Pelodiscus sinensis: one gene and its partner. The protein of the gene in region 2 interacts with the protein of the main gene of each other region in a pairwise test. Links are inferred from orthologs where the notes say so. Each region holds a gene or a part of one and is shown on either strand. Other genes may lie near its edges.

Region 1 (7,582 bases), about 220 Mb from region 2:
GGGAAAAGGAAACACCCTGAATTTTATGCTGACATGCCATGTAACTCTATGCCTATGACTCTCATCAGCCAATCACATTACTTTGGGGGAAGGGTTAGGATACTTTCCCAATTGAGCAACTGCCATAACAGTTGGCAATGCCTATGAAGGAACAAACTACCCAGCACTCATGAAAGGCGGGATTTTCTTTCCAATGTCTGCGTAACTAAGCCTTGACTGCTTCTAACCATAGGACTTTAAAAGTACTTATCTTAGTGCTGTTCCCTAATTGAAACCTTAGCTACCAAAAGGGAAACTTCAAATAGTTAGATGCAGAGATAAACGACTGTAGAGATGCCAAGCCTGTAACAAGCTAATGTGGCTTCAATCCTGCATCAGTCTTAAAAAGTCTTTTCAATCATATGTAAGGTAACTCCGATGAACTACTATGACTGAGGTTTTGTCTATATAGCACCATAAAAAATTAATCTGAATTAACCACAACTGTGAATCTGAAGCGGGTTAGTGAAACCATATTAAACCCCTGTGTATACACTGTTTTTCAAAACTATAGTGACCCCTGATTCCATGTGATTTAAGTCACTTGGGGAATGAATTCAACTAAACCAAATTAAGGCTACTTTAATTCTGAAGAATAGGATCACAATTTTTAACTTATCCACTTCAAATTCACACAGTGAGTTAATTTTGAATTAATTTTCCTGGATGTCCTTATGTAGAGAAGCCCTGAAGGACTTTTTGTCCACCAAGCCATGGCTTAAGGACTACATTATGCAAATGTTTACCTGCTTAAAGCTGGATCCTATTAGGTGCTGATATTCATACAAATTGAGGAAGATCAGCATTTTACAAGATTAGTCCCTAAGAAGTCCTATTTCTTTGGCGAAGGTCTACACCAGTGTTATTTACTTGAGTTAACGGATTTAGTCAGCAAATACTTACTCAGAGTAGGTCAGGGATGAGCAACCGAGGCATGAGTGGCCCTTCGTCTCAGTGAACCACAAGACTGTCGTAACCAAGACAGTCTCCAGAGATAGGATAGTTTTGCTAATTGTGATTGCATACCTGTAATTTGCATGGTGTGCAGACTGAAACTTAGCAGCGCTTTTATTGGTTGCAGAGGGAGTGCACGCCTTTCATAATCAATATTGTGTGCAATTAGCATGCACTTCCCTTTACATGCATGTCACATTAGTAATACTGATAGAAAAAAAGGTTCACGGAAACCAGCAGACTCTGGCAACCCTATGCATGAGAACAGTGAACAAAATGTCTCGTGGACCACACATGAAACCCTGATGGGCTGCAGGTTGCCTACCATTGGCGAAGGTCATCTGTTCCACCATGTATTTAGCTGTGATACTGAGTATATTTCCCTGATTTAAAGAAGAGCTCTGTGTAAATGTCTCTCTCACAAATGGAAGTTGGTCTAATAAAAATATTACCTCACCACCTTGTCTCTCTAATATCCTGGGACCAACACAGCTACAATAACATTGTATAGAAGTAGATAACATAGTTGTAGGAGCAATGTGAATACTCCCTGAGCATTTTGAGAATACAAGTGTTTGTCCTTTATCTTAAGACCCAAAATTTGTATCTCAGAACAAACATTGAGTGTACCAGATTAGCCATTACAAATACGTTAACTACCACAAACAATTAGGCAATCAATAACTTCAAATAAAAACTTCTAATATAGACAAATGAGGAAGCCCTAATCCTGCACATGTGTAAGCATTTGCAAGACTGAAGCCCAGCAATTTATGTAGTAACAATTACCATAGTTTCTGAGAGCTAGGGTTGAACACAATTGCAGTTTTGCCCTAAGCCAATATGAATCTGTGCAAAAATAAGATGTACTCAAGGGAGTAAGGAGTAGTTAGATCATGATGTAAATCCTTTTTCCTCTTACTATTTATAGCATAGTTAAAAATTATATGTCAGAAAGTAGCTGTCATTCTGGAGTTAGGGGCCCAGTCTTCTTCTGAGAGACCCCTTGAGGGGAAATGAGGCAGCTTGGGTACACCTGTAAGTAGTTAATTCACTCAGTAACTAAGAGGCAGTTAATTAGACAGGGAAGCACTGAGGCATGATGAAAGGCTAAGGGCCTCAATCAAAGGGAAAACAGCTGAAGAAAAAAGGGAAGCCCAGCCCTCAGTGAGGTGAAGGGATTGTAAAATGAAGATTCTTCCAACAGGCTGGGGAAGAAGCTGCCAGAAAAACCAAATGCTCCAAAAAGGACAAATTAGGGCAAGAGGCACGAAAAGCTTGCAAAGGAGGAGAGGCAGTTCATGGAGCAGCAAATAATTGAGAAAGATGGAGGCTGGCTGCTTCAAATATGTTTCCTGAGTTGAAAACCACAGGAGGCAGTGGGCCTGGGTTCTCTATGTGCCAACTCTGTGGGTGCTTTGGACAGTGCATGACTCTAGTGGTGGGGAAGCTGGATGGGGTGTCAGAAACTCCCTAAAAGTGGGGTGGGGTCACTGGTGCTCAGACTGCAGTCCTAACCCATTCTCAGCCACATGACCCTGTCCCTCCTCTGCCACTTCTTCTTGAGGCCCTGCCTGTGATTCACTTGGAGGTCTCTCTTCCATTCTGCTGCTTCCTCAAAGGCCCTGTGCCCACTCCAGCTCTTCTTCCAAGGTCCCTGCCCCCAAGACTTCCCTCAGTCTCTTTGCCTGGTAAGATACCAATGATAGACACATATTTAGTAACCAGAATATGAAAGACATGAATAAATATGCTGAAAATATCATCTTCCCAAACACACACCCCTCTTCAAAAGCACCATCTGGCAAAAGCAAGTCAGCACCTATGCTGGCTTTCCCAATTTGCTCTAGCCAAGGGCTCTGAAGAAAGCTAAACCCAGGAGCTTTAGCCCCATTAGAGTTATGGGGCTTCTGATCAATAGTCCCTGTAAGCTGTGCACTCATGCGGCCACTCAGGAAAAATCTGAATGCCTCCCAGCTGATTGTCAGAGATTCCATAGATAGCTTTTGTGTTTCTGTTGGTGGTGCATATTCACACATGCCTCGCTGCACATACGAATGTATTCAGCACATGCATGGAAAATATCCACACATGGGATAGAAAAAATTGGCAGGAACAGTGCTTCTGAATCTCCATTATCTTGAAGGGAATAGATACTACTGGAACCTAGCTAGAAGGCTGGTCATAACAAGGACTTGATAACAACAGACTTGAATATGGTGCCATTGGGGGGATGGGAGTCAGGTAGTATTGTTCCCCATCCTGCTGGCAGGGGCGCTAACCGCTAACGGCCCCATATTACAGTGTCTAATTCTCTAATTACCTTTAAAAATTTTAGCTATAGAACAAAAATTATACTCAATCAATATAAGGTTGCAACTATTTTGCAACCTATTAACAGGAAAGCTCCAATGATCTAAGTTTATCAAAACCCTGACTTTAAAATAAAACCCATATTTTCACGGTAATATGCAACCATACAATGCACTGCTGATAACGAAAAGTTGTCTATCAATCAAATCCATCAAGTAAACTTCAAGTAGATTATCTACTTACATATTTCTATTTGTATCATTTATTTCAGAGATTCTAAAATATTTTCTCACTGCTTAAAAAATAGCAGAACCAAAGCTGCTTAACTCGTGCTCAACAAATTTTTAAAAAAGGGTTTTAAAGCCCTGATTCAGCAAAGACGTATGCAAGTTCTTAACTTTAAACATGATCAGTAGTCCCCATTGACTTGAACACAGTTGCATGATTTAGACAGTTCACAGCACATACAATTAAGTGCGTGTAAGTCTTTATATTAGGCATTAAGAATGTGATTTACTTTACTCAGTCCTCTGTTATCTTAATGGAAGTAATCACGTGTCAAATTATTCACAAGAATAATGTTTGCAGGATTGAGCTTGATAGTATGTTGTGACAAAATATGATGTTGCCCTGAAAAAAAGAAAAAAGAAAAAAAAAAAAAAAAAAGCTGGTCAAGCCTGTAATTACAAGGCTTTCTTCTCTCATGTAATTTCTAATGACCATCAAAATTCAAATTCATTTGCATACACTAGCATTACATATTCCTTTAATATTGACACACCATATAAGTTGCATATTATATCTAAACATACCACAAAATATTTCTAAATATTATAAATTACACACAAAATGCACACATCAACAGTATTCATTTTGTGAAAGGCCAGTTTCTGTAATCACCATAGTTAGACGTATGAAGCCAATTTTTCAAGAGTAGCCATGGGTTTTTCATTCTTTAGTTTTTGGGTGTCCCAGTTCAGTGATCCCTTCTGAAAAATTTGTCCAGAATTTCTACAGATTGTATTTTCATAGCATGCACCCTATCTTACCTTGGTTAATGTATATTCCCTCTAAATGCCAATAAACTCACTGCAGGGTCATGGCTTAATATTATGATCTAAAAACTAATATATAATCCATCAACAGTTAAGAATGCGATTTCAATGTATTAAAATAAAATAAAATGAAAGCAGAAAGAAACAAACAGCAACTCCAGCAAACACCACTAGAGTTCTCCTTCTCCCAAATATCCCTAGTACAATCCTAAACCCTGTTTACCCCAGAAACCTTAACTGTGGACAGACAGAAGAGGAGAGGGAGAGAATATTCAGACACAATAAAACTCCGAGGGGGAAAAATATGTGGAAGGAGGCGGCAGCAGCGGCCTGGGGAAGCGATTGAAAAGTTTCCCCTGGCTTAACTTCTCCCTCCCCTCCCCCTTCCAGCAGCAGGAGCAGCAGCAACAGCACAAGGTGAGAGAGACTTTGGAGTCTGGGGAGGAGGGGTGCGTGTGTGAGGGGGGCTTGAATTTACAGCCCTGTGGATGTTTCTGTCTCTCTCCCCCTGGCTTTGGGGTGAAGAGACAGCGTGTCTCGTGCTGGGTGGAATTTTTTTAATATGATGGAGGATTATAAACATGGCGCCTTAAAAAAAACCCTACAAAAATCTGTACACAGTGATCCAAGGAGATAGGGGCAGGGGAAGGGCTGGTCGGGAGGGGAGCGGGTTCCTGGGGGGGGCTGCCACTAGAATAATAAAATGTGGGGAGCTGGGGGGGATTTTGTTTGCTGTTGCGGGGGGGGGGGTAATTTCCTAGCCAGGGTGGAAATGGAGCAGGGAAACTGGGCGCGGGGGAATATTAATAATTATCAATCCTCGTTGACAAAGCTCCCTCCCCCCGCAGCCATGGGCTTTAGCTGCAAAGGGCTGGGATTGCGCCTCCCCCGCGCACGCCAAAGTTACAATAAATAACCTAGGGGCTGGGGGGAGGCGGGAGAAAGCCCCTCCTGAATCTTCCAGCGCGGCCTGCGGGGAGCGGGGCAGCCGGGGCCTCGAGTGAGAGGAGCGGCCGAGCGGGATGTGGCGCAGACGGGCCACAGCCCTCCCCCCACCCCGCACGCCAGGCGCCTGGCTTGCCCCGGCCCCGCCTGTGGCTGTCGCTGGGCTGAGCCTGCTTAGGGACGGGGCTGGGCCGGATAATGGCAGCTGCTCTGCAAGGCTGTCTCTGAAGCAGCGACACGGGTAGGGGGATTAGCCCCGGGGGCGGCACTGGGAGGGGGTGAGGGCTGTACCCTCGGCTCCCCTCTTAGGGCAGACGCGGGGGAAGGGCAATATCCCTGCTTGGCCTCGGTGGGGCAGACGCTGGGGGGGCATTGCTCCTGTTTGCCCCTGATAGGGCAGAAGCAAGGGGGAAGGCAGTACCTCTGTGGTGCCCCCCAAAGGCACACCTGGGGGGAGACAATACCTACTGGGGGCCCTCCCCTGCTGGGTCCGATCCTGGAGCAGCGGCCATACCCTCACCTCTCCAGGACCCCATGTCAGGCAGACACTGCTGGGGAGGGGTGATACTCTAGCTCCCCCTGTAGGGCAGACATGAGCAGGGAAGTTGCATCTAACACCCTCAAACTCTTTTCTAAGGGGAGAAATGAGGTTTAGGTCCCCAGTCTCCCTGGGGGTACGTCTAGACTACCGCGTTTTGTCGACAGAAGTTTTGTCGACAGATACTGTCGACAAAACTTCTGTCGACAAAGAGCGTCCAGACACACTGAGTTCTGTCGACAAAGCAAGCTGCTTTGTCGACAGAACTCCGTAGTCTGGACGCAGTGTTACAGGCAATAACACCTTCTGTCGACAGAGTTCTGTCGACAGAAGGTGTTATGCCTCGTAAAATGAGGTATACCAGCGTCGACAAAACTGCTGAGTTCTGTCGACGTTATGTCGACAGAACTCAGCGTAAGTGTAGACACTGGTATAGTTTTATCGACAAAAGTCCACTTTTGTCGACAAAACTAGGTAGTCTAGACACACCCTAAGAGGAGATGGGCACCCTGCTCCTAAAGCCCCTTACAGGTGAGATGCTCATTAGGCCCAGGCAGCCATCACTCTGCTTCCTCAAATCCTCTGCGCTTTCCTTCCTCACCTGCTGGATGGTCCCTTCTAGCTCTTGTGGGATTGGCTCTGGTTTCCCATTGTGTCTTTGTGAATGGAGAAGCTGAAGTTTCATTTACAAATGATCTTCAGCCTCCCACTGCATTGACATAAGTGGTGTGTTGTTCCTTTTCTCCTGTCTCAAAGATTTGCCTGAGGACTATAGGTTTCCTTCCCTTATTTATTTCAACAGAAGAGGTGAAAGTGTGAAAGGAGAAGCAAATATTGAAAGTACTGAAAGCAGAAATATAGTGGGTTTTTTCATTACATTTTCTTGGCTCTCTTTTAGAGACAAGTCAGTATGTTCAATGTGACATTAGGGACTTGTCATCTGAAGAAGTGGGTTGTGCCCACAAAAGCTCATGATACCATCTACATGTTTTGTTAGTCTTTAAGGTGCAGTAGTAGACTACTTGTTGCCTTTTTAAAGTTTTTCTAGTTACAGACTAACTTGGCTACCCCTCTGAAGCTTTTGGGAAAACTTTGTGTGATGTTTCTGAGCTCACAGTTTTTGTCCCTGAAAATCATTCTGGATCTGCCATTAAGTGTATTTGGCCTTGTTCAAATGCAAAGTTGTCAACAGCATTTAAAAGACTCTAGTACAGTGTTTCTTAAACTTTTTAAGACCAAGGAACACCAAACAATTTTTTTTATGAGGAACACCCAAGAATTTTTTGTTGAGGAAAAAGAAAGGTCGGGGGAGGGGGAGGTAAGAAGGTAGGGGGGAAAGTTATTGAGGGGGAAAAAGGGTCAGGGGAAAGTTATGGAGGGAAAAAAAAAGTTGCCTGCCCCTTTAACGGCTGCCATTTTGTAATTCTGTTCTCCAGCACACCTCCAACTGCCTCATTCATTGGAACACAGTTTAAGAAATACTGCACTAGTGGAAAAGAACTAGACTTGAGAAACCTAGAAACATAGTTGAAAAATCAAATACTGAATACAGTGCTAGGTGTTGTATAATTCAGTGATGGTATGACTGACATTTTAACATCTCAGAATAGTATTTTCCTCTCACACTGTACTGATTGCATTACTTGTGGAGTGGACAAGAGGAAGGTAGAAAATTTCTCCCACCTTTTTGAGGCCTGTTTTTATTGAACTTTATGGTATTCTTTGTAATTAATTCCTT
Region 2 (7,916 bases):
CAGATGACACAAAAATTGTGGGAGTTATAAATAAAGAAGATTTACAGGTCTCTGATACAGAGGAACCTGTATTGTTTGATAAACTGGGTACAAGCTAACAATATGTGTTTCAATACAACAAAACGTGAAGTCATACAAAAACAAAGAATGCATGTCATACTTACAGGATGCAGGAGTCTAACCTGAGAAACAATGACTTTGAAAAAGAGGTAGGTGGTATATCACTATGCACATCAGTTAAAGAGACTCAGAAAAGGCTAATGTATGGATGTATAAAAATGGGACTATCAAGAGGGGCTAGGAAAGTTATTTTACTATCCTGGGGTTATCATGACTGGATTACCATATCCACACTGTTTCTACAATTAAAGAAGGATGTTAATAAATTAGAGAGAATTCAGAAGATCCATGAAAATTTGTAAAGAACTGAAAAACAGGAGGCTCAAGGACTCAGTGTATTCACTTGAATCAAAGAAAAGATTAAGAGGTGATTTAAGATAGGTTGCATAAGTATCTCTACAGGGAATGGAAATCTGGTAACAGAAGGACCCTTAATTCTAATAGACAAAGGTACAACAACATCAGATAGCTAGAAGTTGAAACTAGACAAATTCAGAGCACAAGACAGACATATATCTTTAAACAGTGAATGTAATTAACCACTGGAATGATTTAATCAATGGATTTACTGTGATGGCTTCTCCATCATTGGCAATTTTTATATCAAGTGTACATGTTTTTCTAAAAAAATATGCTCTAATTCAAACAGGAATTAATTAATTAGTCTTTGTTGCTCAGGAGGATGATAATGGTCTCCTTTGGTCGTATCATCTATGAATCTACTTTAAACATTATTTTTTGCCCTATTAGATTTTGTAAAATCCTTGTAACCAAAACACATTTTTGTTCTATACTGACTGTGTGGTTTTAATTCCTCTTTACTTTGGTGCCTTTAAAAGAAGTTTTAGATTACACTTTGCAGCTTTTTAAAAATGAAATTCATATTTCTGAATACCTCCAGCATGCTATTTTTAAAAAAAGGGCTATTTATTTCTGGTTAAAAATCCATTTACACACCAACTTCTTATATTTTAAATGGCAAATTGAGAAAGGTAAACTGCCACATCATTAGTATGGTTAACTGCCGTCCCAGAAAGGTTAAAATGTTCAGAAGTAACATGGAGATACCTACCAGTTAGTATTCACTACTTGCAGGTGTTTTGATCCCTTTCAGAAGCACAGAACCTCTTTTCAAAGTATGTGGTTTATTGACACTGCTTTGGATCTCTATTTCTGTGCATCCTAATCTGGAGAAGAGTTGAAAATCAGAATGCAGGCCTGGGTGTATGTGTATATGTCCCAAAAAAAGTAAAAATGACATTTCCAAACTTTACCTGCAAACACTGCTACAGGTTCCATCTTTTCAAACTAATTCATTTTGCATTTTAAGATGCCAGAACTAGAACTTATCCCATGGACTCAATTAGTTAACTAAAAGATCCATAAGGATAAATACTGGTATATTAAAAACACAAGCATATTGGGTCCTTCAAATTTATGAAAATTAAGTTCTTTATGCTGCTTTTTCACCTGACTTGTCCAATTTTCCTTCACCATTTGTGAAAGACAAAAACATACACAAAATCCTCTCTGCATAGCTGCCAAACTCATATTTGGAGATGAGGAAAGAGGAAGATCTCCCTGGTTCTTCAATTTTGCAGTAGCTTAAAAACAAAAAAATACTTCACCATGAGGGATTTTACAGCATGTTCCCAGGAGATTTAGGAATCTCATTCAACTGGGACAAGAATCATCAAATTTGTAAATTTCAAAACTGTGATTACTTTTTCAGTATTGCTCCCTCCCCCCATCAGAGCCTCCAACTCTCCCAAAAAGCCACCCACAACAGTATTTAGATTTTAGAACCTCCTCTAAATCACCATTGGGAGAAAGCATAACACAGGTCCCATCATCTGCAGACAAAACAATAGGGAGGCGAAGAGTGGGGAGAAATACACACTCAGCCCCTTCCACCTAAAAAATATTTAGAAGTATAAAACTGCTCAGTGAAGACACCCCTTTGCCTGTCTCTGGCCGTAAGAACTCTCCCATGGTTTATTCCTTTCTCCTTTCTTCCCCTAAACCTTGGAAAGACATCTTTTTTTTTGTAACGTTTCCCTAGAAATGATCACTGAGCCAGGGTGTGGGGAGTTTGTTGATCTCAGCACCCTTCTCCCATATTATAAATGATTGAAAACTGAAGGGAGAATCCCTCTCAAATCTCAGTTCTAGAAGCAATGGCTAGAGATGTGTGTGTGAGAAATACTTCCCAGCTTCCACCAAAGACATTTCACTCACGCTCTCCAACACGCCCAGCACCCCCAGCAGAGAAAGCAAAGAATGCTAAAATCCCTACCGTGAAGTGCAGCTCTCTGCCTCTCTCCTACTCAGCCTGTGTCTGTACCTCCTCCTCCTACTGCCTCGTCGCCATCTTGCATTTCAAAAACTACTGCACTTTTTTTGGGGAGGGGTGGGTAACTGAACTGTGAACTTTGAACTCACATAGCACTTTAAACCCACCCTGAACACACAGACCCTGATTTGATCTGTGCATTAAAACTCCATTCCCCCTTCGATGCAGAGAGTCTATGCCATGCTCTGAGTGTGGGAAACGGGTGTAGCAATAGGCAGTGTCTCTCACTCAATCACACATGCAGGAGCAGCAGGGAGGGGAGGAGCTGTTCCAGCAGTGATACAATCGCCTCTCGTCTTGCGTGTGAAGCTGGGGAGTGGTAGCTGCCACCATTTATAAAGCTGGCACAACAGAAGGCTGCCCTGTGATTGGTCCCAGCAACGTATTATTCTAGCCATAGGGATCAGGACCAAAAAAAAAAAGCTAGTGGTCACATGACATCTCCCCCCATCTCTTACCCACTGAGCTGCTAAGCTAAGGGACCCAAGGCAAAGATCATCCTGTCCCTATGCTGTGTATTTCTCTCTCTCTCCTAGTTTATCAAGTTACAATCTAGTGGTGTTAAATGAGGAAGCAGGTTATTACAACTATTTTAGCCCAATTTCTTTTTTACCATGGGTGCTTTTTGTAGCGTGCGAAAGGAAAAAGCAAACAAAGCAATTAGAGTTTCATTTTCTAGTTTACACAATAGCAGCGGGCTGCAATGTTTGGGTTCAAACAAACTTTTTTTTCTTTCTGTGTTAGAAGCACTGAAGAGTGGGCACTGCTTTTAAAAGAATGGACCTGTGCTCTTTTCGTTTCTTTACCAGTAGAGCTTTGAGCAACAATGAAGGTGAATGTGGCCAAGCACTTTTCATTAAGAGACTTTTTCAGTTACTTAAAATTTTAGCAAATTTCAGGTGGTTGGACAGAAATGTCTCAATGCCCAGATCAGCCTCAGACTGATTTTTTTTTAAACATTTCAGAAAAACTGATTCAATCTGTGTCACAATACGGTGAGTGATAATTTTGTTTCTCCTCCTTTCCCCATTCATCACAAATGTGTAAATGCCTGTCATCTGTGGAATTCAGAGGTGGTTCAGTGTTGTACTAGAGCAGTGGTCTCCAACCTTTTTATACCCAAGATCACTTTTTAAATGTCAGGGCAAGCCAATATCTACCCCATCCGTTCCCCAAGATCTGATCCCTTCCTTGAGGCCCTACCCTCTCTGTTCCCCTCCTCTCCATCATTTGCTGTCTCCAGGCCTCACTCACGCTCCTGGTGTTGAGACAGAAGGTGCTGGTTCTGGGATGGGAATGAGGGATTTGGGTGTGGGAAAGGGTGAGAGGTGCAAGCTCTAGGAAGGAATTCGGGTGCAGGAGGAGGAGGAGAAGGGGATGCTGACTCAGGGAGGGGGCTCCAGGCTGGAGAGTGTTGGGGTCAGGAGGAGGGTTGGGGTGTATAAGGGGCTCAAGGCAGGAAGGTTGGGTGTACAGTGGGGATTTAAGGGGCTCACGCCAGTGTATGATAGGCTCAGGTTTGGGGTCTGGGTGTGTGTGTGCAGGAGTGTTATGATGCTGCATCCAGATGGGGGCTTGGCCCCAACTGGAGGATTGTTGGACAGGCTTCATTTTTAAATAAAATATGTCAAACACAAAATGTTTCAGCATTGTTTTTATTTATGAGAGGTGTGGGGAACCTGTTTTAAGTCAGGGGTCACTGACCCACAGAAAAATCAGTTGGAGACCACACTAGTGAAATGCAAAATAAACCACACACCACACACACCACCCTCCAAAACCCCCCCAGTCTCATTGATGTAGCCCCAGCTGAGACACCTCACTCTCCCAGCACTCTAAACCTATGGGGGCGGAGAAGAGGAGGTAGAACTAAGGTTCAAGGCCCTCCGGCCAGATTAACTCTTTCTGGGGTTTCAGGGTTAGTGGAATTTGTGGGCCCCTCTACACTCTGAAATGAGGCAGGACAGGGCTCCCAGTGAGTGGGATAGGGATGCAGAATCTGGGTAGAAAATAAGGTAGAGGAGCAAGCTGGAGGTAGGTGTCTGGCCAGGAGGGAGGGGGTAGGAGCAGGGTGCTGGTGGGCATCTGGCCATGAAGCAGGGGCAGGGTGCTGAATGCTATCTGGCCACAAGGCAGGGGCAGAGTTTGGGATGGGATCTGGCAAGGGGGCAGAAGCAGGGTGCTGGTCGGGCCCTGGGCAGGGTGTAGGTGGGAGTCTGGATGGGGCCAGATGCTGGTGGGGCCCTGGCCAGGGTGAGGGAGCAGGGTGCTGTTGGGGAGGACTGGCCAGCAGGTGAAGACAAGGACAGCTCGACTGGTACCTGGGGATCTCGCAACACGTGTGCTGCTCCTCCCCTCCTCAAAACAGCTGGCATGCTTCCTGAGATGGTACTGAGCTGATCTTGTCCATGAATAGGTGTAAAATAGTAACGTGCAGCAGAAGCCTTGTTGTCTATTAAGACATTTAAGATTTTGGGTGCAATGCACAGAAAAAAAGGCAATCTTGCACAGAAATTTTAAGCTCTCAGAGATACTCATTTTGTCTGGTCAATATTGAGGATTGTGTTGGTTTGAGTAGAAAATGCATCAAGATTTTCTTGAAGATGCAGCTCCAGATTTTTCCTTTTGTTAGTGGATCAGTCCCTTCTTGAATACCACTTGTATTCTCCACTACTAATTTATCTGTTTCCCCAAACATCCCCAGACCTGTACATTTAGATACACAGAGTATCTGTGATTACTGGTTGCTACTGATTTAACAGATTTCTTGTAACCTGTAGTAGCAGTCATCCCCCATTAGGTCAAAGATTTGACCACAATGTGAACTCAAGGCCTACCTTACTCAAAGCAAGGATATGCTTACCATCAAGTAGGGATGTAATAGTGTAGTCAATCAATAAGCAAAAGCTTATAGGGTTAATGCTATAGACTACACACATTCCCTCCCCACACCAGTAAATTTTTTAGCAGGCTGGTCAGCAGCCTGGCAACAGGTCCCAGACCTACCCCTACTGTGGCTCTGAATTTAAGTGTCTTAGAAGTCAGTTGGGCAGGCAGCCCATCTCAGTTCTGTCTCGCACTGGGTCCAGGAGCTCAGACCCCCTTAGACAGGGACTGCTGCCTCTTTATCAGGTGACCTGGTTTTTAAACCGGCTCCTCACACAGACCAGCTCCTGCCTGGCACCCCATGCTGCTGCCTCTGATACAGAGGCAGCAGTATGGAGTGGCAGGGGGCTACTCGGGAGTGAGGCCGGAGCACACTGACTGCTGGCCCTGTTCCAGAGACAATAGAATAGTCAACTAACTGATAAGAATTCATGAGGTTAATTGTATCAGAGGGGGTAGCCGTGTTAGTATGGATCTGCAATTGAATAATCAATTGAATTGATTATTCAATTAACCGATATTTAACATCCCTACTATCAAGTAGTCTTTTCTTATTAAGGCCATGTTTTATCTTACACTTTTTGGTCACCAGTTACATCAGCATACATCTGCCAAAATTTTTATAATCGTTTGGGCATGTGAATACATGGCTACTTGTTTTAGCACTGCAAATACTCATCAAGAGTGTTTGGGTTATTGCAAAGTCCCATGCCCTGGATCAGTATCCCAATGTGCCCTGAACTACTTCATGGTGGAATACCTTTTAAGATGGAAACGACATGTCCAGGACATTAGGGAGCAAGGGGTCCCAGCATGCAACTTCCTCTATCCATTATACTATTCATAGATCACAATTACTGTGCCTTAAAAAAAAGTCTACAAAATACACATGGCACTATTTGGTCTCTGCATCTCTGACAGAAGCAAGGAGTCAACAGAGATCTAGCATCGCCATTATCATGAATATTGCAAATACAGGACACACAAATCTCTTGTACTTACAGACTTGCAGGCAACAATGGAAATGCCAGTTTCTTCTAGGATAGTTTGCTCAGGAACATAGTGAAAAATAACACAAGGCTATGGGAGACATTAATGGAGCAGCTGCAGATGGTGGTGCACCACTGATGGGATCACATTGTAATGCAGATTTGGGATGACAAGTAGCAGTGGCTGCAGAACTTTCCACTAAGGAAGGCCATATTCCTAGATCTATGTTCTGATCTGGCACCAGTCCTCCTCTGCAAGGACACCAGAAAAAAAGAAGCAGTGACAGAAGTGTAGTGTTCACAATCTGGAAACTTGCAATGCCAGATTGCTATCAGTCAGTGGAAATCATTTTATAGTTTGAAAATCCAGTGAGAGCCATTGTCACACAAATGTATACAGCCATTAATCATCTTCTGCTACAGAAGACAGGCAATGTGGGGTTCGCAAACTGTGGAAGAGTAAGGTGCTCTCTTAGCAGGTGCAGTATGACTACTATGTTTTTGGAAGACTTATGAGTAAAGAGTGACAGCGTTTCTTCAGACTGGACCTCAGTGAGAAAAACCATCACAATGATTATAGCTGCTTGTGTTCTGTGCAATATATCATGCATGGGGGAAAAGCTGCTGTTAGGGTGGAGGCAGAGAGGCTTTGAACAGCTAGAACTCTTGCCAACTTAGGCTACGTCTATGTTGGCAAGATTTTGTGCAAATACTATTAACGCAAGAGTTTTTACATTAAAGTATTTGCTGAAGAGAGTGTCTACACTGGCATGTGCTTTTGCACAAGAGATGTGCTTTTGCGCAAAAGCATCTGTGCCAGTGTAGACGCTCTCTTGCGCAAGAAAGCTCCGATGGCCATTTTAGCCATCGGGCTTTCTTGCACAAGAAATTAATGTTGCCAGTCTATACTGGCCTCTTGCGCAAGAACAGTTGCACAAGAGGGCTTATCCCTGAGTGGGAGTGTCAGAGCATTTGCGCAAGAAGCACTGATTTTATACATCACAACGTCAGTGTTCTTGTGCAAGTACTTGCGGCCAGCGTAGACAAGTGGCAAGATTTTGCGCAAAAGCAGGTGCTTTTGCACAAAATCTTGCCAATGTAGACACAGCCAAAGACCGTTGTAAGAACACAATGTGGAGCTATGCAGTTGATGAAAGCTTTAAAAGATTAATTTTAACAGTCAGCCTCGCTGTTCTGTGCTGGACTGTTCTCTGGGCCTGAAGCTTTGGGTGTTAGTAATTGAGCATTTATAATTACAAGAGTTTTACAGGAGCTGTGAAACAGCCTGGTCGGTTGCACACAACAAAGAAAAGCTCCAAGGTGCACTCAAGGTGGAAAAGCAGGAACATTTTTTTTCCAAAAAACATACAAGGGACTTGGGAGAATTAGGGATGTAAAATCCACTTTAATTTGATAACCCTTATGTCTAACTGGTTAACCAATTAAGGGGGACAATAGAGCGCCCACTGCGGATGGGGGCTATTTAGGCCAGCCCCAAAGGATTGGAGCACCTCCATCCCTGCGGCAGGCTAGGAGCTGCACTAGCCCTTACTGGTAAACCGTTAAGG

What was found. The genes of interacting proteins can lie anywhere in the genome.
Region 1: the proteins of ZHX1 (region 2) and ZMYND11 interact in a two-hybrid assay, tested with the Homo sapiens proteins (2 studies listed by BioGRID and IntAct). The link is inferred for Pelodiscus sinensis from reciprocal best matches to the Homo sapiens genes ZHX1 and ZMYND11.

The regions. Positions count from the first base shown.
Region 1 is NC_134712.1:237,858,157-237,865,738, reverse strand, and holds the start of ZMYND11 (zinc finger MYND domain-containing protein 11), read left to right. Parts: upstream 1-4,565; 5' UTR 4,566-4,778; intron 4,779-5,174; exon of another isoform or gene 5,175-5,547; intron 5,548-5,774; exon of another isoform or gene 5,775-5,821; intron 5,822-7,582. UniProt on the Homo sapiens protein: Chromatin reader that specifically recognizes and binds histone H3.3 trimethylated at 'Lys-36' (H3.3K36me3) and regulates RNA polymerase II elongation. Does not bind other histone H3 subtypes (H3.1 or H3.2).
Region 2 is NC_134712.1:19,902,905-19,910,820, reverse strand, and holds the start of ZHX1 (zinc fingers and homeoboxes protein 1), read right to left. Parts: upstream 3,004-7,916; 5' UTR 2,417-3,003; intron 1,308-2,416; exon of another isoform or gene 1,303-1,307; 5' UTR 1,193-1,302; intron 1-1,192. UniProt on the Homo sapiens protein: Acts as a transcriptional repressor. Increases DNMT3B-mediated repressive transcriptional activity when DNMT3B is tethered to DNA. May link molecule between DNMT3B and other co-repressor proteins.